Notamacropus eugenii: one gene and its partners. The protein of the gene in region 1 binds, or shares a complex with, the protein of each later gene. Links are inferred from orthologs where the notes say so. Each region holds a gene or a part of one and is shown on either strand. Other genes may lie near its edges.

Region 1 (6,877 bases):
TTCTTAATGTTAACCATTTGTTATTGGAATATTGGTATTGGAAACAGATCCTGTCCTATTCAAAGATAACAACACTGAGTTCCCAGGCCAGTGTTTCAGAGAGATACAAACTTTACCTCTCCTTTAGTTGATGACTACCAGTTGTTTGCTATGCATCTTCCTGCCCCTATTTCTAATTGTTTTTCTTCAGAAAGCAGTCTATTTAGAACATTAAATACAAAAACTACCTGAGGTCTACGATAGACAACTTTAAGTATCCTAGTCTATGGCCATAAACCTATGAACAAAATGTTATTCATTCATTCACCAAATGACTATTAAGCACCTACTATATAGAATGCTAAATCAAGTTTCATTCAATAATCTTTTACATTGTCCCACAAGAACTTTATTTAGAGAAGTGTGCTTTGAGATTTTTATTTTACATGATTGTATTCAAACTATCAATACTTCACCAACCTAGATATTAGAGATTTGGACTAGAAGGGACCTTAGAGATTATGTGGTTTAATTCACTCATTTTATTGCTACAGAAACTGAGACCCAGAGAGCTTAAGTGACTTACCCAAAGTCACACATGGAGTAGCAAACAGAGAAAAGAGGATGTAAAACCAGGTCCTCTGAATCCAAATCAAGGACACTTTTCACTGTACTGTACTGATTTCCTAGTGCTTCAAGCATTTAGTAAAACTATATCTAATTAATTTTCATTTATTAACTATTTTCTATAGGCCTATTATTTGAGGTGTATCTATTTGTATTAGACCTCTTGATTTCACAATGCCATAAGAACCGATGGCTACTGGGGAAAAAAAACCAAACACATGACTTGGAGTCAGAAGACTTGGGTTCAGTTCCCAGTTGTACCATTTACTGCCTCTGTAACCATGGAGTAAACATTTAACCTCTATAAGTCTCAGGTTCCTCTTTGGTAAAAATGGGAATAAAAATACTTTATTTCACGGGACTTTTGTGAGGAAAGCAGTTTAGAGCTCATAATGACTATGTAACAAAATTGTAAGTTCATAGAAGACATGGTTTTTCATCTTTCTATCCCCAGGATGTTGCTTCCTAATACTTGTTGATCAAATTTCAAAGTGTGTTTAATCTTTAAGTCATATATGATTATTAAGTCTATGTTCAATCCCAACATGTCTGATAATTCTTACCTACCTAAAATTTTTGATGATGTCACAAATTTAGTATTGTGACTATGTTTAAGAATTATTAGTGTATCATTTGACTGGTGAAAAATAAACAAATGATACATTCAATTACCTTTTCTATATTAATCATTTCAAAGTTTGTTTCCACTTGAAAATATTTTAAATAGCAAGGGGAAATGACTATTTAAAATCTACTAGAAAAATATCCAGAAACTCAATAGCTCTGACTTTTTAAATTATCATTCTAGTATTTTGAAATTTAAAAATTTACTGATAATTTTGCTAAATGTCACAAATACAAATATGTTTTAATATAGTTTTAAAAAAGCATATTATAAAATTCAAATGGTAAATTCCTTAAGGTAGTACAATGGAGATTGGAAATGCTGCAATTAAATGCAACTAAATCGCAAGAAAAAGTTATATTCTAACTCATATATACTTCTGAAAAGAAAGCAACATAATTAAAAACTCTTAGATCTCAGATCGATATCATCAAACTGGCCATTCATCTTATTATGAAGGTGGATACCTGGCAAAGGTGCTATGAGGCTAGTGGAGGCTTGTCCTTATTAGTTTTAAGGACAAGATTTTTAAGTTTTTTGCTTCCAAAATAAGTCTCTCAAACTATTAAGCCTCAAATTAAATTTATACAGTATCTATACTTGTAGCTACTGTAATTCAAAACCATAGCAACAAAGTATCCAATTGGGGCTAGCATGAGTACATTTAGTGTAATTGAATACTGTATTTCAAAACATTATTGATTTCACTGAGGTGGCTATTTAGCCCCTAATAAGGAACAGATAGAAAAGATTATAATTCCTTCATGCCTATTGCTGTGGTCCAAAACATTCATCACCTGGGTGTTGGCCCTTTGATAAGGAGCCTTCCTTCTTTGGCCTTTGGAAATGTCCATCCATTGGACAAACTTAAAACCTTTCCAGCTCAGTAGATATACCTAATAAAACCTCAATACTTAAAAAACAAAAACAAACAGTCCTGTATAGTGTGAACACAGCAGGTGCATTAAAGTAAATATGGTCTAATGGATAAAATGCTAGGCTTGAAGCTAGGAAGAACTAGGTTTAAAATCAGTCTCTAACACTAGTGGTGACACTCTGGGCTAGTCATTTAACTTCCATTTGCCATAGGCAACTCTAGGATTTTATCTACTAAGACACAGAAGAGTTCCCTAAATAACTTCAATCAACGATTCTGTTCCTAGGATACATTAAATAGGATTTTGATTCTGACTGTTTGAATGTTAAGAGGCAGAAGGGGACCTATAGATCCTTCCATTTTACAGAAAAGGAGAGTGAGGATCAAAGAAACAAAATGGCCAGGCCAGATCCTAATCCTAGTTCCAAGACTCTCTACAAATTCCCTAAACAAGAAAATTCCCAAATAACAATTATGTAAAACTTATCTTTGACGCAAGTGAATTGGTGTCTGTTGTTTAGTAATGTTCGACTCTTTTGTCACCCCACTTGAGATTTTCTTGGCAAAGATACTGGAGTCGTTTGCCATTTCCTTCTCCAACTCATTTTACAGATGAGGAAACTGAAGATTAAGTGATTTGCCCAGGGTCACACAGCTAGTGTCTGAGGCCAAATTTGAACTCAGGAAGATAAGCCTTGACTCCAAGTCCAGCACTCTATTCCGTTCCACTTAGATGCCCCAAACTGATGTCTAGCTGGAACATATTCTCTTCCATGTAACCAATAGAAGAAATAGCTCAAAGTTAGGTAATCAGTCCATTAGACTGGGCAGGAATGTTTTTGATTTTGTATATTCAATGCTTAACACAGTGCCTGGCACAAAGACCCTTAAATGCCTGATGACTTCACTTTGATTTGTAGTAAGAAGCTATGGATTTCAATGCCAACTCTCATTTGCTAGCTGTGTTGCATTGGGCAAGTCACTTCACCTAGTTGTTTCCTATGTAAAATGAACTAGATAACCTCTTAAGATTCCTTTCACCTCTAGATTCCAAGATCCCAAGGCAGGAAACAAATTCTAATCCTAGATCTGGCACTAGCAAATGGTGCATTCTAGGAAAGACAAATCACTTTCTCTCTAGGCCTCTTTTTTCTTTAATGACCAGCACAAGATACACAGCCTGGTGAAGTGGCAATATTTGGAATCAAATCCTAGGTCTACTAACCCATTCCCTGTGGAACACTGGTCATATCACTGAACTTATCTGTATGACAGCCCTCAGTTTCTTCATCTGTAAAATGAAGGAGGTTGGACTAGAACACTGTAAGATCCCTCTCAGTTCTAACATTTTTAAAATGGTTTTTTTTTTAACTGTAGGGAGAGGAGCTATTTTTAAAATATGAATATTCTTAAAAATTGATGCCTCTAGGGTAAAAAGTATTTTGCTTTAAAAAAAAAAAGCAAAAACTTGACACTTAAACTACACGTCCAACAGCTAAATATGGAAATCTTGAGATATATCTCTAAAAACTAAATGAATGAAAATGGACAAAATCATTGCCCACTAACCATACATTTATCCAAATCTGTGCATTAGGAGGTCCACTATAGTGGATGAAATGGCTGGGTCACGCCGCAGAGTGGGTCGGTCACTCATGGAACGTACGCAGCGCGGACAAACCACGCGAAGCACAACGCTCTCCGTGACGTCACAAAGAAGCGGGAGGTGGAATTCCCACGCTTTTTGTCAATGGGCCGGCCGGGCCACGTTCGACAGCCCGGGTGGGCCGGGGTTCGGGAGGAGGATACAACAAAATGGCATCAATGACTTGCCTCTCACAGGCGAGAGAGAGCGCCCGAGGGACCTAAGTCCTTCCTTCGCCTGCTTGCCTTTTCTCCGGACAAATTCGGGGGGCACGGTTCCCCGTAGTGCCGCAAACCCAGGCTGCGATGTCCCGGCGCCGGGGCGGAATCCTCGGCCTAGAAAGAGCTGCGAACGGAGACCACCACGAATAGGGGTCGAATTCTCAAACCTGAGGAATCTTGTCCTTCTCCAAAACCCGTAGGAAATCAAGGCAAGCAGGGCGGGAGCGCCGGGGCTCCACCCCCCTCTTCTTCGCTCCGATTGGCCGGCGCGGGTTTGGCGCCAAAGCCACCTGGCCGGGGTCGGAGGGAGGGAGGAACGTCCCGCGCGGCGGCGGCAGCGGCGGCGGGGGTTTGGGAGGCAGGACTCGAGTGAAAGCTGTTGTGGGACTCGCAGCCTGAGCGCGCGGAGCTATGTTCTGCGAGAAGGCCATCGAGCTCATCCGCGAGCTTCACCGCGCCCCCGACGGGCAGCTCCCAGCCTTCAACGTAAGGCCGGGTTACAGCCCTACGGGGGGGTGGGGGGGGGGGATGGCTGGGGGATGGGATTGGTGAAGGAAGGGGGCGGGGTCTAATCGAGGCGAGCGCAGGGGCGGGGCCGGATGAGGGGGAGGAGCCGGGACCGAGATGGGGTAGAATGGTGGGGCTAAAAGAGAGTAGGCTTATAAAGTGAGATGCCGACTGTTAATAGACTGGTGGAAAGGACAGGGCGGGAGGCTACGCTAGCAGTGAATTCTTGGGAGAGGTCTGGACCTGGGGTAGGGCTAGAGATTGGGGGAGTGTGAAAGTGGGAGCTGGGCTTGTGGCTTGGTCAAAAAGGATTTGAAAGGGAGGGGAGGGCAGGAGGAGGGATGGAACAGTGGGTCTGGATCAGGAAAAGGAAAAGGAGAAAGGAGAGGATGGAAGACAGAATGAGAGTGCAAGGGAAGGGCAATACCTCGAGGAACAGGTGTTAAGGGGATGGGCTAAAAATAATGGAATGGGTGCAAGAGTGGCCAAATAAATGAAGAGCTGTGGCAAGTATAGATCCGTTGTGTCTAGACCTCTAATTGTATCCCTACGGCGGTATCAGTCCTTAAGATTTCCTTTTTTTTTTTGACTAATTATTTCAGGAAGCACTAGCAAAAGACACCTCTTTTTAAAAAAAATATATTGTGACTATCTGAAGTTTAATGAACTAGTCAGAAAATCCAGGTTCTTGTCCAGGCTCTGACTTCTGTTTCCGTGTCTTTATTAGCAAAAGAAGGATGTGTACCTGAAAAGATAGACAGATGAAGATATAGGTATGGAATCCTAGGGGTCTTCATAAAGAAATGAACAATGAATTGGACTTTAAAGGATGGATTGGAGCCTTGGATAATCCTGAAAGCTCCGTGAAAACTGACAACCTATGATATGACTCTTTGAGTCTTAGTTTAGTGGTTTATTTTTTGATTAGGAGACTGAGAGGTGGGGCAGGGAGTAGAGTTCTGATTTACCCATGCAATTTATTCTCAGAAGCCCTAATAGGCCTCTAGTCTTAGAGATAACCCACCAAGCAACATATATAGATGTGATTTGACCTATGAAAAAGTTATGGGGAAAAGAGTAATCACCTATGGTTAGCTTTGTACTTTATCATTTGCTTTTTTTCCTCCCTCTATCTCATCTATCTACTGAGTTCTTTAGAGATGTTTTCTTCCATCACCATCATCACTACAACTCTAAGTCACAGTACATAGATAGTGCTCCTTGAGTTCCCACTCTACTAAAGGAGGATAATGCTCCGAGAAGATAGAAATGTGGTCTTAAGTGCTGAATGTTTTCTATCTAAAACAGACTATATAATAGATCTTTATAAGCTACCAATAAAACTTGGAATGAGATTATATTTAAAGTTTTTTTTAATGAATTTAATAGTTTTGAATTTAGTACTAAATTTGGTATTTGTGAATTTAATAATTTTGTCCACTTGGGGAATTTCTCATTTGGAAACTCCCACCTCAGATGCCAATCGCAGCTTTGTAACTAGTACACTTAGAAATTTGCCTGGGGGAAGTGACTGAGTTAATGACCTGTGTGAGGTCTCATGACTTGAATCAGGTCTTACTGACCTACCATGTCATCCCACCTCTCATTTAGGTATGTTATATGGTACTGTAAAGGTAAATTCAATAGAAACTTAATAGTAGAAAGTGCATACTATGTGTAGAACACTGCATTGTACATACTGTGGGATGAAGTTTAGATAAGACATAATCCAGACCCTTATGAAATTTACAGTCCTGTTGAGGGAATAAGACACACATAGATAACATTTTAAGTATGCTAGAGAAGTAGAGAACATTGCTATATGTTGTTCAGTGAGGGGATTGGGAAATGCTTCACAGAGAAGATGGCACTGAGTTGAATTTGGAGTTTAGCAGGTGAAAAGGGGAACACTTTCTAGTTCCTAGAGCAGTATGAATGCAGTAAAGTATATAGTATGTTTGAGGTACATAGTCTGACTAAAGCATATTCATTATTCTCCCTCAAATACTGTGCAATCTGGCCATGCTGGCCTACTTGTTTCAGGGTGCACATAAACTCTCTGTTTCATCTCTGGGCCTTTGTACTAGCTGTGACTCCTGCCTACAGTTCACTCCTTCTTCACCTCCACCTCTTAGAATCTTTGGTATCCTTCAAGACTCAGCTGAAGGACCATCTTCTAAATGAAACTTTTCCTGATCCTCTGGCTGCTAGTATATTTTCTCCTGAAACAACTTTGTATTCATTTTTCATATATTTTGTATATGCTTCTATGCACATGTGGCTTCCCCACAGAAATGTAAACTGCTTGAGCTCAAGGAATGTTTCACTCTTCATGTATCCCTGGTGCTTATTACTTGGATGCTGATAGTGGGTGCTTAGTAAATGCTTGTACGTTG
Region 2 (7,852 bases), on another chromosome or scaffold:
TATGTTAGGTATGTTCAATTGTGCAAAACATAATTACCATATTAGTTATGGTGTCAAAGAAGACACAGAACCAAAGTGGAGAAAAAAATTCACAAAAAATACAGAAAGTGAAAGACAGTATGCTTCAATCTGCATTCATACTGCATCTTTTTTTTCCTCTGGAAGTGAACAGCATTTTTCATCATGAGTTGCTTTGAAGTGTTTTGTATTGCTGAGAATAGCTAAGTCATTCATAGTTGATCATCCTATAGTATTGCTGTTACTGTGTACAACATTCTCCTAGTTCTGGTTACTTCACTTTGCATCATTTCATGTAAGTCTTTCCAGGTTTTTCTGAAATCTTTCTATTCAAATGATAACATTCTTAGAGTACCAGTTAATGTTTTCCTATATAAAAGGTAAAGATTTTGACCTTATTAAGTCCCTTAGAATTGGTCTTTAATGTTTACCTTCTTATCTTTCTCCTGAATCTAGTAGGTTACATTTTCTATTTAGTTCTGATCTTTTCTTCACAAATACCTGAAAGCCCTTGTGTTCATTAAATGTCTATTATTTTTTCCATTCAGGATAACACAGCTTTGCTGGTAAGTTATTCTTGGTTGTAAGCCCAGCTCCTCTGCTCTTCAGAATATATTGCTCCATTACCTTCAGTCATTTAGAAGTTGCTGCTAAGTCTTGTGTTATCCTGACTGTAGCTCCACAATATTTAGCTTTTTTCCTAGTTGTTTGTAGTATTTTCTTCTTGACCTGGGAGTTTTATAACTTAACTGATATTCCTATGAGTTTTCATCTTGGGATCTTTCCAGTGATGATTGGTGGAATTTTTGTTTCTATTTTACCCTCTCATTTTAAAACTTCAGGGCAATTTTCCTTAGCCTCTTAAGGTATAGTATCTAGATTCATTTCTGATCATAAATTTCAGACAGTACAATAATTTTATATTACCTCTCTTTGATCTGTTCTCTAGGTCAGTTGTTTTTCAAATGAGATGTTTTACATTCTCTTCTATTTTTTCATTCTTTTGATTTTATTATTTCTTGGTGTCTTATGAAGTCATTAGCTTCCCCTTGCCCAATTATAATTTTTAAGGAGTTATTTTCTTCTGTAAAGTTTTGGATCTCTTTTTCCAATTGATTGAATTTCTTTTCATACTTTTCTTGCATTACTCTTATTTTTTCCCTAATTTTTCCTCAACTTCTTATTTGACTTTTAAAATCCTTTTTAAGCTCTTTCAAAAATGTTTTTTGGCTTGTGACCATTTTGCTTTTTTCTTTGAAATAGAAGTAGCTGTTCTAACTTCACTATCTTCTTCTGAATTTGAAACTAGACATTCTCTATCACCATAACAGCTATGTATGGTTGGGTTCTTTCTCTTTCACTGTGTGGGATGGCTCAGGTCCCTACATAAATCAATTACTCAGAGGCCTCTCAAAGTGATGACAGAAAAGTGATTTATTCGATTCTGGAGAAGCGGGGCTCACCTGTAGGAGTAGGAAAGCCCAAGACAAAGAACAGGACAGTGATTTATATAGACCCTAACGCAAGTCCCTCCTCCCCCCACTGACCATTATCCTCATTAGCTGAGAATATGGTCTTACATTCTAGACACGAAATCTAACCAATCCCTTTTGAAATGAAGACATTGAGGAATTATGTAAGTTTTGTCCAATCATTGAGACCCTAATACACTACACAGCTTTATATCCTTATATGGAACTATTCTATTCTAAAAATATTGTAACCTTGAGCCTTTAGGCCTTACCTCACCCCTGGGAGAAAAATTACAGTCTGAGGAGTCTGTCTCACTCATTCACTTACACATTATTTTATATTTGTTAGTGGCTTATTTCTTGCTGTTAATTTTGTGTTAAAACTGGGTTCTAGTCCCAAGGTGTACGGGATAATATCTCAGGCTTCAGGGTTTTTGTGTTTTTTTCTGAGCTCTATCCAGGGCCCTAACTTCAGGTATTCCTCTCAGCCCCTGAGCCACAATCAGGTGCCCCTGAAATCCCTGTGGTTCCTCTTGCAGCTCAGCTTCAGCTCACCCCTCTGCACTGAAACCGAAATCAGGGATTCCATTAAGTGCCCACAGCCAACTGGGCCCTTGCCCTCTGTGACCACACTCACCCAGAATGTACTCATTCTTCCTCACCCCACAGTCACAGCCCTAAAATGTATCAGATCAGTGCACCTGTGCCTGGCATCCAGAACCAGCAGAGGGCCCTGAAATCTTCCCTGGGCCCAACGCCCAATCCCAACTACAGTCTGTGGGGTGAAAGCTCCTGAAGCTGAGGATGACTACCAGAACACAGTTGCCCCCACAGCTGGTTGTTTGTTGATTCAGCAATACTTGCCTGGAGGCATCTGCACTACAAAGAGGTCAAAGACCCCAGGACATGGGGTATTTCCTCACAGTCCTCAGAAGTTGTCTTAGGTAGATAACTGCTTTACCTGGCTTTAAATTATTTCTGCCACTCAAAAGTTCACTCTGATGCACTATTTTATATTGTTTGTAGAGAGATTTAGAAGAGCCAGGTAATTTGCTGTTATTCTGCCATCCTCCTAGAATCCCCCTTTTTGGTTTTTAAAATAAATTTTGAGCTCCTTAACATTTGCTTCAATTCTTCTAGGAATTTTGACATGTAGCCCACCTGCATTTTCTTTTAAGGCTTTGCTTTTAAATGTTCTGGAGTCATTCTCTCCTGTGTTTGTATCTCAAGTTTACCCGTCACCATAATTGGACTTTTTTTTATTTGTTTGCTCATTCTTCCAGCCTACTTCTTTACTCTAGACCTTATATTAGTGTTGAACTCTGCATACTTGTGGGGAAAGCATGAATTTCTGTTCTCTTACATCCTTCTGCTGATTTCACAGTTCCAGCTGGGGGCCTACAAGTTTGCAATGCCCCCATAGTGGTGTGATCCAGGGGTTGATCTGTTCACTGCCCTCTGTATCTAAGCTCTGCAAAGTCCTGACTCAGGTTTGTGGTTTACTGTCTTGTTTTTGGTTGAGATCTTCAGTAGCCTTTCACTTAACTCAGGCACTACTGGCCTGCTGGGAAGCTCTGAGGTTCAGAGAAACTAGAGCCCATGCTCACAACTGTTTCTCTCTACCCTACATCTGTGACCCTGAACTGGGTAGAGAATGACAGTTCAACCAGTGTTTGTTAAGGGATCTGCTGGCATCTTTTTTGCTCCAGTGCTTCCTGCCCCAGTGCCCTGTGTTACCCTCTTTCAGTCCCTACCTGTTGGAATGCTCCTTTATGCATGCTTATGGCAGACTTTGTCCTCAGTATTCAGAAATCTGTATCCCAGAGCTACTTTGGACTAGAAAAATGACTGAGTATGACTTTCTTTGCTTTCTTGATCAGAATCAGGTGTGGTGAGTATTTTAGATCTTTGTCAAGGAAGTGTGGTGGGCAAGCTATACTCTAAAGCTTGCTCTCAACTATATTACTGATAATAATAGCATTCATATAGTGCTTTACATATGTTACATGTAGTTACATCAGATCCACAACAACCCTTGTTAAGTAGATCCTCTTGTTTTCTTCCCCCTTTTACAGAGGAGGAAATTTGGGTACACAGAGGTTAAGTGACTTGCAACCCAATGTCTCAGGCAAGGCTGTAATTCATCTTCTTGATTCCAAGTCCTGTGCTCTATCCCCTGTACCACTCAGCTAAAACCCAGGGCACACCTCTTTAAATTTTAAGTCCTGGCCCCCCACTCTACTGTAGGTTTCCTTCATTGTAAATCTTCAGCTTTCTTTTTATCTGGCTCCAGCATGACCGTTTAATTTTACAAGGAAAATCTGCTGGAGTTTTTCTTAGAGTATGGAATTAGCTGAGACTGAATAATTTAATTCAAGACAATTCACTGGGTAGAGATAAAAAGATTTTCTGGCTCAGTTTTAAGATCATCGTTGCTACTTGTAACTTCCAAACCAGTCTCAGTACTTGCTGAATGATTTACAACTCGAATTGAAGTCACTCTCCTTTTGTCATCTTTTGCCATACAATCCTCCTTCCTCTTCTTACAGTATCTTTGGTTAAATATCTTACACTAGCTCTGTGTAAAGCTTGCGTAGTTAGAAATGATACATCTTTCTTTCCCTTTCCAGCATCTGTAAATTCTAACTGCTTCTTTTTTCTTGGATGCAACTAGAACCTCTGCAAGTCTAAAGAAGTTTCACCTGGCCGTGGAGAGTCATGGAGGGCCCTCGGAGCCGGGCCCGTCACAAGTCTGGTTTACGGCCTGCATCTGCACGCTGCTGCTCTGGGGTACTTTCCTATCATTTCCAGGCCTCTCCCCACATGCTGCTGGATTCCGAGTAGGTATGCACCCCTTCAGCTCCTACTCACACATATTAACGGGTGCCCCCTAGGGCGCACGGTTCCGGGTTCCACTTATTAGCGGGGGCCCGGGAGTCCGGGGGCCCGAGGGCAGGAGGGAGGAGCTCCCGGAAGCAGGCGCCGCCTCTGCTCCGGCCGAGCTCCAGGCCCGGTCTTTGGTCCACAGGGAGAGCGGCCCAGAGGGGAAAGTCGCCGGGGGTGGCTCCGGATCCCTGGACGGCGTCTCTGCAAAGCCCTCCGCGGCCCTTCCAGACTCGGTGACTACCATGGCTGCTTCCTACACTCCGGGCTAGGCCAGGGTCCGGAGTAGAAGCCCAAGGTGGAAGAGGAACCCAAGAAAGAGGCCAAGGCCGGATCCTTTCCCCTTCCCGGAAGCTGTCAATCGCATCGCTTCCGCCCGGTGCGGAAGGCTACGGATGGACAACTAGATCCAGCCGCGACAGGAAGTGTCTCCTCCCCTTCCGCACGGCCCCGCGGCGTCACTTCCGCCCCGTGGCGGAAGGGGAAGCCCTCGGGTTGGCGCGAAACTTGGTGGTGCGGCTCCGAGCCCGCTCGACCCCCTCCCCCTCCCCTCCCCCCCTCCCGCCCCCGGCGCGCGCTCGGCCTTTCCTCACGCCGCGTCGGCCGCCTCACTCCCGACGCTCGCCCCGGACTGCAGCCGCCGCCGCCTCAGAACGTCGGAGCCCCGGGGCGGTGAGTGAGGGCGACGGGCGGCGTTGGGGGCGACCGTTGTGTGGCCGCCCCGGGCCGCGGCGGCGGGGGGGGGGGGAAGGGGGGGGGTCCTGTCAGCCGGGCAGCCGAGCCGGGTTCGAGGCCGAATGCCCTGAGGCGCCTGCGGGGCCCGCGCTGCGGGTCGGGGGCCGGGGCGGCCCCGCCCCCTCCCCTCCGGAGCTCCGGGCCCGCCCTCGGGCCTGCTGCCGCTCGGCCTCCGGGCCCGCGGCCCCGTGCTGACGGCGCCTTCTGGTCTTAGGTCGACATGTCGGAAAGTGACCGAGAGCCGTACTACGTGAAGTTTGTGAAGGCGCCCGGGAACTCGGAGGGTTTCTTTACCGCGCTTGGGGTGAGTGGATGGGCCGTGGGGGGGCGGGCGGACCCCAACGTCTCCGCCGCGTAGAAGCGGGTTTGTGAGCGGCGCGGGCCCCGGCCCCGGCTCCGGCTCCGGCTCCGGCTCGGCCCGGTTCGGCTCCGGCTCGGCCCGGCCCGGCTCGGCCCGGCTCCGTGCTCCTGGGCAGCATTTCTGGTCCGCTGCCGAAACGTTCCCGAAGCGCAGCGCGGCCTGCTTGGGGCCTTCCTCTGAATGATTGACGTGCGCTCTCGCTTCGCCTTTCAAACAGTCTATGAAGGAATTCCAGTCGGAAGAGTATCTCCAGACCGTGGCCGAGGAGGAGGCCTTGAGCGTGACGGAGAAGGACCGATCGCTGTACATCTGCGACCCCTTCAGCGGCGCCGTGTTCGAGCACCTCAAAAAGGTGCGTTAAGTGACCGCGTCTGGGTGTGATGCACGAGGAAACGGGAGGGCCGCGGGATCCCCGGGAATGACAGATCTGCGGTGTGTCCTAGTGCATGGATGCTCACGCTGCTGGAAGAACTGGCCTTGGAGAAATAGGCACGAAGGCTGGTGAAGTGGTTGGCAGAAGGGAAGACAAGTGAAGGAAAATCGTCTTTGTTTCGCTACTCAAACAACATAAACCTTGTGTTTTCTGTTCTGTAGCTTGGCTGTAGAATTGTCGGCCCACAAGTAGTCATATTTTGTATGCAGCACCAACGATGTGTTCCAAAAGCAGAGTATCCAGTCTATAATATGATTATGGCAGACGTAACTATTTCTTGTACAAGCCTTGACAAAGAAACAAGGGTAAGATGTTTTAGTAGGATGATAACATCGATATGTATGTTTTATATGAATTTTTTTTGTTGGTTAAGCTGTACTGTGAAATGTTTCGAATTTTATTTCACATGAGAGCAGATGTTTTCCTTTGGCTATTTTGTGTGACACAGTTAACAGATATAGTAGAGGGTTAGGACCTAGCAGTATAAGAGGTGATCTTCAAATTGAGTTGTACCTAGCACAAGTCATCCTAACCAATGATGTTTCATAATAATGTTATAAATGCAATATAACCAAAGCCCTACATATTAATATCATGCAGACAATTTGTAACCTCAGCTGCTCTAGCCACAGGACTGCAGTTTCATGCTCCATAATTTCTGATACCTGCTTCATCCTTCTTCAGATCATAGATGCCCTGGTCTTGTCCCAGTCACTGTAACAAAATGACTATGAGTCCTCATTCCAGAACATTGTTTCTCTCCTTGTTATGTTGTTCTAAGTGCTCTCTATAAAGTTGGTTAGCGTTAGGGTTTTAAATGAAAAAAAAAACAACTTAGTGAATTGTGCTTTTAGTGTCTTTCAGTAGAGCCATTAACCATTTGAAGATCTTCGTATTTCTTTGTAAATTGTTCATCTTAATTGTTGCATCATTGTGCATTTATATATTCATATATAAATAAATCATAAACATAGCACAGCTGTAGTGATTAAATGAATATGAATTTGTTGTGGACATAATGTAGTGAATGCTTTAGAAAACGGGTAACAATGATTATAGATTAACATATTTCTTACCTCTTCCTTTTTCACTCCAGAAAGAAGTTCATAAATATGTACAAATGATGGGCGGACGAGTTTGCAGAGACTTAAGTATATCAGTAACTCATCTTATTGCTGGTGAAGTCGGCAGCAAAAAATATTTAGTGGCTGCAAATCTAGGGAAACCTATTATGCTTCCTTCTTGGGTAAAAGAGCTATGGAAGCAGTCACAAGAGAAGTAAGTTGTTTATTATGACTTAAAAGTTATGTGTAAGATCATGTAAGCCAATCTCATGGGTCCCCTGAAGAAAGTTTTGCAAGTGTCTTCTCTCCTTAATCACTCAGTGACCTAAACAGATTCAGCACCATTCTCTTTCCCAAACCCAGAAGGGTGAAAGTTTCTTAGGCACAGAATGATAATGAGTGCCCGTGGTAGGCAGTGTGATGTGGAAAGAGTATTGGGTTTGGGATCAGAGCACCTCTGGTAGTGGAAATGTGCCTTGAGTGTTGGGCTCCTCAGTTCACCCCTCTGGAAATTCCATTTCCTCATCTGTAAAATGAAGTTGTAACAGATGAGTTGTGAGGTCCCTACCACCTCCCCATTTAGTTTCCTAGAATTAGTTTGTCCCCAGAATTGCCCACATGTACATCAGATTCGAAGAGAAAGTAGACTTGTGTTAAGCATAAATTGCCATTCAGAATTAGCCATAGTGTTCCTAATAGAATAATTGTTTGCAAAGTAGCAATCAAATGGGAGGTGCTTGAGGGTAATTTCAAGCTTTTAAGTTGAAGCCTATGACTTAAAACTTTGGATAAAAACTCTTGTGTTGAGGTTTGGAATTTTTGAATCTGTTTAGAGATAGGCTGTAGAGCATAACAGTCATTTTTTTTTTCCTAAGAAAATTTGGAT
Region 3 (6,855 bases), on another chromosome or scaffold:
AAATACAGTTATCAAAATATTAAGGAAAAAAAGTTCATGGAGCCCAGGTTAGAACCATTTAGCTAGGATTCTTATAATACTTTCAAGTTTTGCAAATGATATAACTGTAAGGCACTCAGCAGAATACCTGACACACAGTAGATGCTATGTATGGGTTAGCCATTATTAGTCTGTGTTTGTAGTGGAATGAAGGCTCTCCTTCCTCATCTCAGGCCTCCTGACTTCCTCACAGCTAGATGCTATTATTATCCCCATTTTACAGATAAAGAAACAGAGGCTTAGAGGTTAAAGGATTTGCCCAGGGCCACATAGCCAGCAAAGCTCTGAGGCATGATCCGAGCTAACGCGTTCCTAACTCCCAAGTCCAACATTATCCATTGTACCTCCTAGCTGCCTAGGTGTTGGGAAGGTTGCTTCCCCATTACTAATAGCAGGGGACTTTACCCCCACTCACTTCCCTTTTGTGACTTCTTTTCTCCTTCAAGGTTGCCCTGGATGTTCATTTTAAACTGATTTATTCTGTAGACAGAAAAGAAATCCTGAGGGCCCCTTAGAACACGAACACGAACACGAACACACACACACACACACACACACACACACACACACACACACACTATCCCATATACAGTTCTTTTCCTCTAGGGACCTTTGTGAGGGGACAAAGTAAATACTACGTTACTGTTCAATACCTAAAATGAAACAAACTCTCTGATATAAAATTTGAACAACTGTAAACAAGACAGGAACTTCGGTAGACCACAGAGTGATTCTAAGTATGACAAAACTCATGGGCACATGGGTGTGAGATATGTTTGCATCAGTGCATTACTCTTAGGGGCTTCCTACTTTTTAGTAGCTCATGAAAAGTATGTCTCCAGTGATAAGTGACTTACTAATAGAATACCTTCTGACCAAGACCTCTCTGTAAAGTGAAGAGTTTGGACTGACTTCAAAGGCCCCATCTGGCTCTGACATTTTATAGGTCCATAAGTCTAAGAAACCAGCTGTTTTTCTGGCTTCTGTCCTCAATCAAACTGTTTTGGTTTTTTTTTTTTAATAAGACATCATACCTGTAGAACTCCTCTTGAATAGTGGTGGAAAGCTGCTGATTAAATTCCTCCAGGTCCAAAAAACTGACAACTAATGTGTTTCTCTCAGGACGAATCAACTCTTCTGCCAGCTGCAAGTATTTTACTTCTCCATCACTGCTCTGGAATCTGTAAGAAACATCAAGACCAGATCAAATTAAATAGGTGGGCATAGATACACACACATATGGTGCACACGTGTGTAGTGTCCTAAAGTCTAAAAATTGCCTTCTTCACAAGTCCTGGAAATTAAGTAGCGTGAGCATTATTATTCCCATTTTAAGGAGGAAGAAGGTGAAGCTCAGAAGCCAAATGGCTAGGGGAGAGAAAAAAAATTGGAGTACCAGATATTATTATACGAAGATGGAAGACTTCTTAAGATCAGGGGAAAGACCCAGAAACTCAAGGGGGCTTACCTAAGCTGATTTTCACAAATATAAAGGATATTTTAAATGCTGGTCCTAGAACCAAGGTAGAAATAAACATATTCACTATCAAAAGCATCCTTGACAACTTTTAGCAGGGAAGGGAAACGGGAGATTCACAAGATGCCTACATACACAAAGATGAATAAAAATTTTTCCAGCCTTATAAGACAAAGCAGAAAGGTTACAAGAATTTACGGTTATTTTTTTATTTATGTATTTTTGCTCTCTGTTCTACAAAACAGAATACATTGGATTGAATAATGGAGGGAGTAATCACTTGTACTGAACATACGGGTTCTGTTGACCCAATAGCAACACGTAAGTGTGGGTGCTTCATAGTTTACAAATGGCTTTCACAGGTTTCAATGTATCATTTCCATTTTAGAACGTCAATGCTCCCACTTCAAGCCCAGGGCTCTTTGTTGCAGAGAAGAAGATACAAAGATGCAACCTCCAGGCCTGGGATGAGAGCATCAGGGACAAAACATGATACAACTGTCAGAGAAGATCACCCCGCCAAGGCTGGGCGCAAAGTACCTCCAGGTCATTAGCCCCAGGCCAGCACAGTGGGAGGAGGCCCTGGTCCGTACTTCCAAGTCCCCGCCCTGCAGTCACGCTCCGGGGGACCGGGGCTGACAAAGAAAGGTCAAGCGCTGGGCCCTGGCCTCGCGGACCGCCCCTCACAGCCCTCACCGCCGCTCCTCTCCGCACGCAGGGCTGGATACTGTTACCAGCCCCACCAGACCGCGAGGCCGGCCTAGGCAGTCCTAGGCAGGACTTGGACTCGGTCCCACGGCGCCACCTAGCGGCCGCGGGGAACACGACACGCAAAAAAACCCACATAAAACTCCGGAAACCTCTTCTGGAACTAGTCTTCCCCACCCGGGCAAGCCCGGCCGACATTCGGCTCTTAACGTGGTGTGCCCCGGCAGGAGCGAGGGCAGGACAGTGCGCGGGGGATGGGCACCGGGAGAGACCCAGGAGTCTTGGGGTCACGGGGCCGGCCCGGGGACGAGGGGCTTTACCTCAAGGTACCGAGTGTCCCAACCACTGCCGGGGGAGGGGCTCGGGGTACGAGCGGAAGGGTAACGGAGCAAAATGGGCTAGGGGGGATGCGACAGCCTGCGTGCCCCCCCTGGGGCGGGGCGGGGGGATCCGGACCCCAGGCCGCGGGCCGCGGGGCGGAGGGCCCGGACCACAAGCACGGGTTACGAAGGCAGTGGGAGTCCCCTCCCCCTCCGCCAGGCCCCCCACTCACTCTTCCAGGAAATCCAGGAACAGCTTCTGGCACTTCTCCGCCACCTCATCGCGGACCTCCACGTGCGGGGTCCCCGCCCCCGTCTCCGCAGCTGCCACTAGGTCCATGGCCGCGGTCAGTCTAGGTCGCCGGTGCTCGAGCCTCCCCAAATCAGCCAAGCGCAATTTCGCCCGGCCGGGAGAGAAAAGGCGTCTTCCCTGCCGGCTCTCCGGACGAGACTGTCTCAGCCAATCGCTGGCCCGCAGGCCCGGATTTTCGCGCCAAACCTAGCCAATGAGGAGTTGTTTCCTTCAGAGCCCCGCCCACTCGGCGAAGCTTTTCGCGCCAAATGCTTGTGGGCGGGGCCTCTTCTCCCCTACGCCCCCGGGGCTCCAAACTTTCTGGGAGTTTACCCGGTGCCTCTGCCTGGGTTCTTTGCCGAGTGTGGAAGTTTTACATATGTTTACTGATTGATCATAATTCTAAACCTGGAAGGAACCTATCCAGGTCATCCCCCTCATTTCACACATAAGGAAACCGAGGCCCCAGGAGCTGAAGAAGCTTGCCGGAGCTTGCAGCCTTGGGGTGGATTTGAACCTGGGACTGTCGGGAGCGGCGCCCCTAAAATGCCTCTAACAGACTCAAGTTATTATTCTGCCGCCGAACAAGATTCAGCGTATGTGTGTGAAAGGTACCAGGTCTGGAAGCATCATGGAGGAGTCCAGATTGCAGCTTCTTGAGAAATGAAGAGATGGTTGGCCTGGGCACCCTCTTTAAATGGAGCTTCTGGGAAGAAAGAGACAATGAAATCAGCAACCATGATTCCAGAATACCAATAGCAAAGCATGCTAGCCACCTGAGTACGGAGAGGTGCTAGTCCAAGATGCAGAATGAGATATATGTTTTTGGAACTGGCCAAGCGGTGTTTGGTTTTGATTAACTATACTTGTTATCGACTTCTTTTTTTCAACTTGAGTGGGTGTAGTCTTCTGTGGTTTTGGTGGCTTATCTCAGATGCAAAGGGCTTACTGGCAGTAGTCTGCCTCTGCTCCTTCCCGCTCTTTTCTAGAAGTGTCCATCCTTCATCCTTGTATAACTGGGGCCTCTCATAGCATAGGTAGCCTGTGCCTTGCATCGCGATGCCTGTGACTTCAAGATAGGAAACCAATAAGACATTTTTGAACAAGAACCCATGTCTTCCCTATGAAATCCATGCTTACCCTGGTATGTAGGATTCTACATATTGAGGAGGGGGAGAAGCAGAAAGTTTGGCAAAACCAGGTTATGCCAAGTCCAAGGCTGGCCTCTCCAACTGAACATCATTGACTCTCATAGTTCTTCCTGCCCATGGCCTGAAGTACATCATGTCTGAATGACTTTCCTACTTTTATCCTTCCCTTCTTGTCCCTTTCTCCTGCTTTTTAAAAGAGTGTATGTTAAATTTAACATCATAGTAACAAAACTGCCCTGTGCCACTTCCCAATATCCTTCTTCTTTCTTCTGGGTATAGTAGCATCCCCTGTGAGATCACATTCATAACTTGCACTTGCACTGGCAAGTTGAGGCCCCAGAGTGGTGAATTCTACCTTGAGTTCTAGGAATTACTCTAGGGGTAACTAACACTGAAGTTCTTGATCCCCCAACTAGTGTGCTTTCCATTAACAATCGGCTAGTATCTCCATTAGATCTTAGAAAAGGTACTTTTCCCCCTTTACCGGAGACATACTCTTATATAAGTATACACAGAATCCAGGAGTGGTGGTGGAAAGAGGTGGGAACAAGCTTGGAGTATAATGGTAGTGGGACACATGTAAAGGCAACACATGAAATCCAGGCAACTCATGACTCTGGAACATGATGTTCAGGGTGGGAAGGGGCATTGGTGCAGGATAACATAGGCCACTCTGCTGCTAGACCTGGCTACTTCTTCATGCTATCTCACCTTGGTCCTTTAAAAATATAGTGTCTTTCCTGGATGGGTTTAGGTGCTGCTGGGTGGAGCCAGGCAGGTTACTTAGGTTTGAAGATGATGAATCTTCTCCACTCCTTTGCTTCCTCTTGGATGGGCACCACAATCCACCCCTTTCAGTCTCAAGTTTGGCTGGGTACTACTGTGCTCTTTTCAACTGGCGTATTACATAGCTCTTTCAGAAAGGGCAGAGAGACTTGGTCTGAACTTCGCTCATCATTATAACTGAGGCCCAGCACTGTGAAGCAATATGGTTACGTATCACAACATGAGAGTTCCAAAGGCAAGTCTCTCATTCTGCTTTCCCTGGGCCTCTGCGTGGAGATTTGGTACTCACCTCCTCAATACTCCTCCAGCCTCTGGACCTCTTCTTCTCTCTGACTGAAGAGAGTGGGCAGTGGTGAGCTCCTCCCAGATCCTCCACCCAGGACATTCATCTCTTCATCTTTTACACTCTACAGGATTTTGCATTTCTCCTGCCCCAAAATCTTCACTCGCCCCACACCCTCACGCTACAGCTTCTTTTTATGCGTTGGCTTTCTCCATTAGATGTTGAGCTCCTTGAGGGCTGTCCTATGCACTTAACACAATGTCTGGCTTGCAGTAAGTGCTTAAATGTTTGTTGACTAGTCAGTCAATAAACTGAGGAGTCAATAAACAGTAAACTTTGTTGCTTCACAGGTAGGAGTTGATTGAGATGAAACTTCCCTCTATTCAGAGAATTCTCACTGGTTCAGACCCAATGTAATTTATAGAGCCCATCCAGTTACATTTCCCAGATCACTGTTGGATCTTATGTAGAATGAGGGTCTGGGATCAAAGATATTAAGACAGTTTTTGCCCAGGGGCTGATTCTGTGGGTGTTTTCTATACTATTTAGCTACTGAAAGACAAGACTAAATCCCTTCCAAGGTGTGGAATTCTGTCCTTGGGAGCTGAAAGGACCTAATCTTTAAGTTTCTTTGTTTCTATCTTTGCCCCTTTCGACCATCTACTTTGTAAAGTTTAACTTTGTATCCTCTGTGTATTTGGTAGTGTTTCATCGATCCATCTTTGTACTTTCCCCTCCCAAATCACTGTCCCTACTGGCCAGCTCTCTTCAAATAGAAACCCTTCCTTGTAATGCATCAAAACAATGGCCAAGTCTGGAAATTTATGTCTTACTCCACAGGTATAGTCCATCAACTCTCTGCCAAGAAGTCTTTTAAAGTCATGACTGGTCATTACATTGTCTGCACACACATTTTTTTTTTTTATCAGAAAACTTCTGTCAGATTTCTGCTTATAGCCTTTTCCTTCCTCTTGCAGCTCAATACACTTACTAATCCCACTTGTTCAATCTATTGTCAAATTTTATAATTTCTGCATTCACATCTCTCATCATCCTAATTCAGGCCCTTATCACCTCCGATCTATCAACCAACAATCAATCAATATTAATTTATCAAATTTATCAAATTAAATTTATCAAATTTATTCTATGTGCTAGGGCTGAAAGGATAAAACCCATTTGAAATGAGATTATATTAATAACAACAAATATAATTTATATAGCCCTTTAAGGTTTGCACAGCACTTTATAACTATTGTCTCATTTTATCCTCACAACAACCCTAGGAGGCAGGTACTATTATTATCCCCATTTGATAGATGAAGTGAGGAAACTGAGGCAGACAGAGGTTGAGTGACTTGTCCAGGGTTGTACATCTACTAAGTGTCCAAAACAGGCTTTGGACTTAGGTCTTCTTGACTTCAAGCCCAGCGCTCTATCCACTGCACACTCTACCTACCTCTATACTCTAACAGGGGAGACAATTACCTATTAAATATATGTAGCATAAATAGAAAATGAACAAATCCAAATGTAAATAACCTCCAAGAAATTAAGTCACCCAGTTATTAAGTGGAAGGCCCTAGTGCTGAAACTCAGTTCTACTGGCTCTTCCCATGACATCATTCTGCTATGTGTAAACTGTCAACTTCCATAGATCAGAGACCAGGTCTATTTAATTCTCTTCAGAGTCTGACACACATTTTGGGTAGCCAGGAGCTTGAATAAGTGATCTTTGATGAGCAAGACAACAATATAGCTCTCTATTTACTTATTTCATTGTCAGATATTTATTCTTC

The links.
Region 2: the proteins of GINS1 (region 1) and TOPBP1 are in contact, whole or in part, in a cryo-EM structure (PDB 8OK2), measured with the Homo sapiens proteins. The link is inferred for Notamacropus eugenii from reciprocal best matches to the Homo sapiens genes GINS1 and TOPBP1. Residues at the interface, in NP_066545.3 of Homo sapiens: Asn43, Gln44, Val47, Asn48, Lys51, His66, Arg91, Tyr94, Gly95, Ser96, Asn100, Arg103, Phe104, Arg119, Ala122, Met125, Glu132, Gly133, Leu134, Asp135, Thr137, Gln138, Asp139; in NP_008958.2 of Homo sapiens: Leu490, Leu491, Ser492, Gln493, Tyr494, Glu495, Asn496, Leu586, Ser587, Arg588, Thr589, Val590, Val596, Cys601, Glu602, Val603, Ala605, Thr606, Val607, Gly608, Val610, Lys629, Pro636, Val637, Pro638, Val639, Met640, Thr641, Arg726.
Region 3: GINS1 (region 1) and MCM6 share a complex: the UniProt entries of both Homo sapiens proteins name them as parts of the CMG helicase complex. The link is inferred for Notamacropus eugenii from reciprocal best matches to the Homo sapiens genes GINS1 and MCM6.

What each region holds. Positions count from the first base shown.
Region 1 is NC_092872.1:602,536,641-602,543,517, forward strand, and holds the start of GINS1 (DNA replication complex GINS protein PSF1), read left to right. Parts: upstream 1-3,854; 5' UTR 3,855-4,385; coding exon 4,386-4,460; intron 4,461-6,877. UniProt on the Homo sapiens protein: Required for correct functioning of the GINS complex, a complex that plays an essential role in the initiation of DNA replication, and progression of DNA replication forks.
Region 2 is NC_092874.1:41,878,105-41,885,956, reverse strand, and holds the start of TOPBP1 (DNA topoisomerase 2-binding protein 1), read left to right. Parts: upstream 1-4,832; 5' UTR 4,833-5,045; intron 5,046-5,322; 5' UTR 5,323-5,328; coding exon 5,329-5,412; intron 5,413-5,686; coding exon 5,687-5,821; intron 5,822-6,063; coding exon 6,064-6,207; intron 6,208-6,998; coding exon 6,999-7,180; intron 7,181-7,852. UniProt on the Homo sapiens protein: Scaffold protein that acts as a key protein-protein adapter in DNA replication and DNA repair. Composed of multiple BRCT domains, which specifically recognize and bind phosphorylated proteins, bringing proteins together into functional combinations.
Region 3 is NC_092876.1:298,080,250-298,087,104, reverse strand, and holds the start of MCM6 (DNA replication licensing factor MCM6), read right to left. Parts: upstream 3,021-6,855; 5' UTR 2,885-3,020; coding exon 2,778-2,884; intron 2,083-2,777; exon of another isoform or gene 2,068-2,082; coding exon of another isoform or gene 2,057-2,067; intron 1,221-2,056; coding exon 1,074-1,220; intron 1-1,073. UniProt on the Homo sapiens protein: Acts as a component of the MCM2-7 complex (MCM complex) which is the replicative helicase essential for 'once per cell cycle' DNA replication initiation and elongation in eukaryotic cells.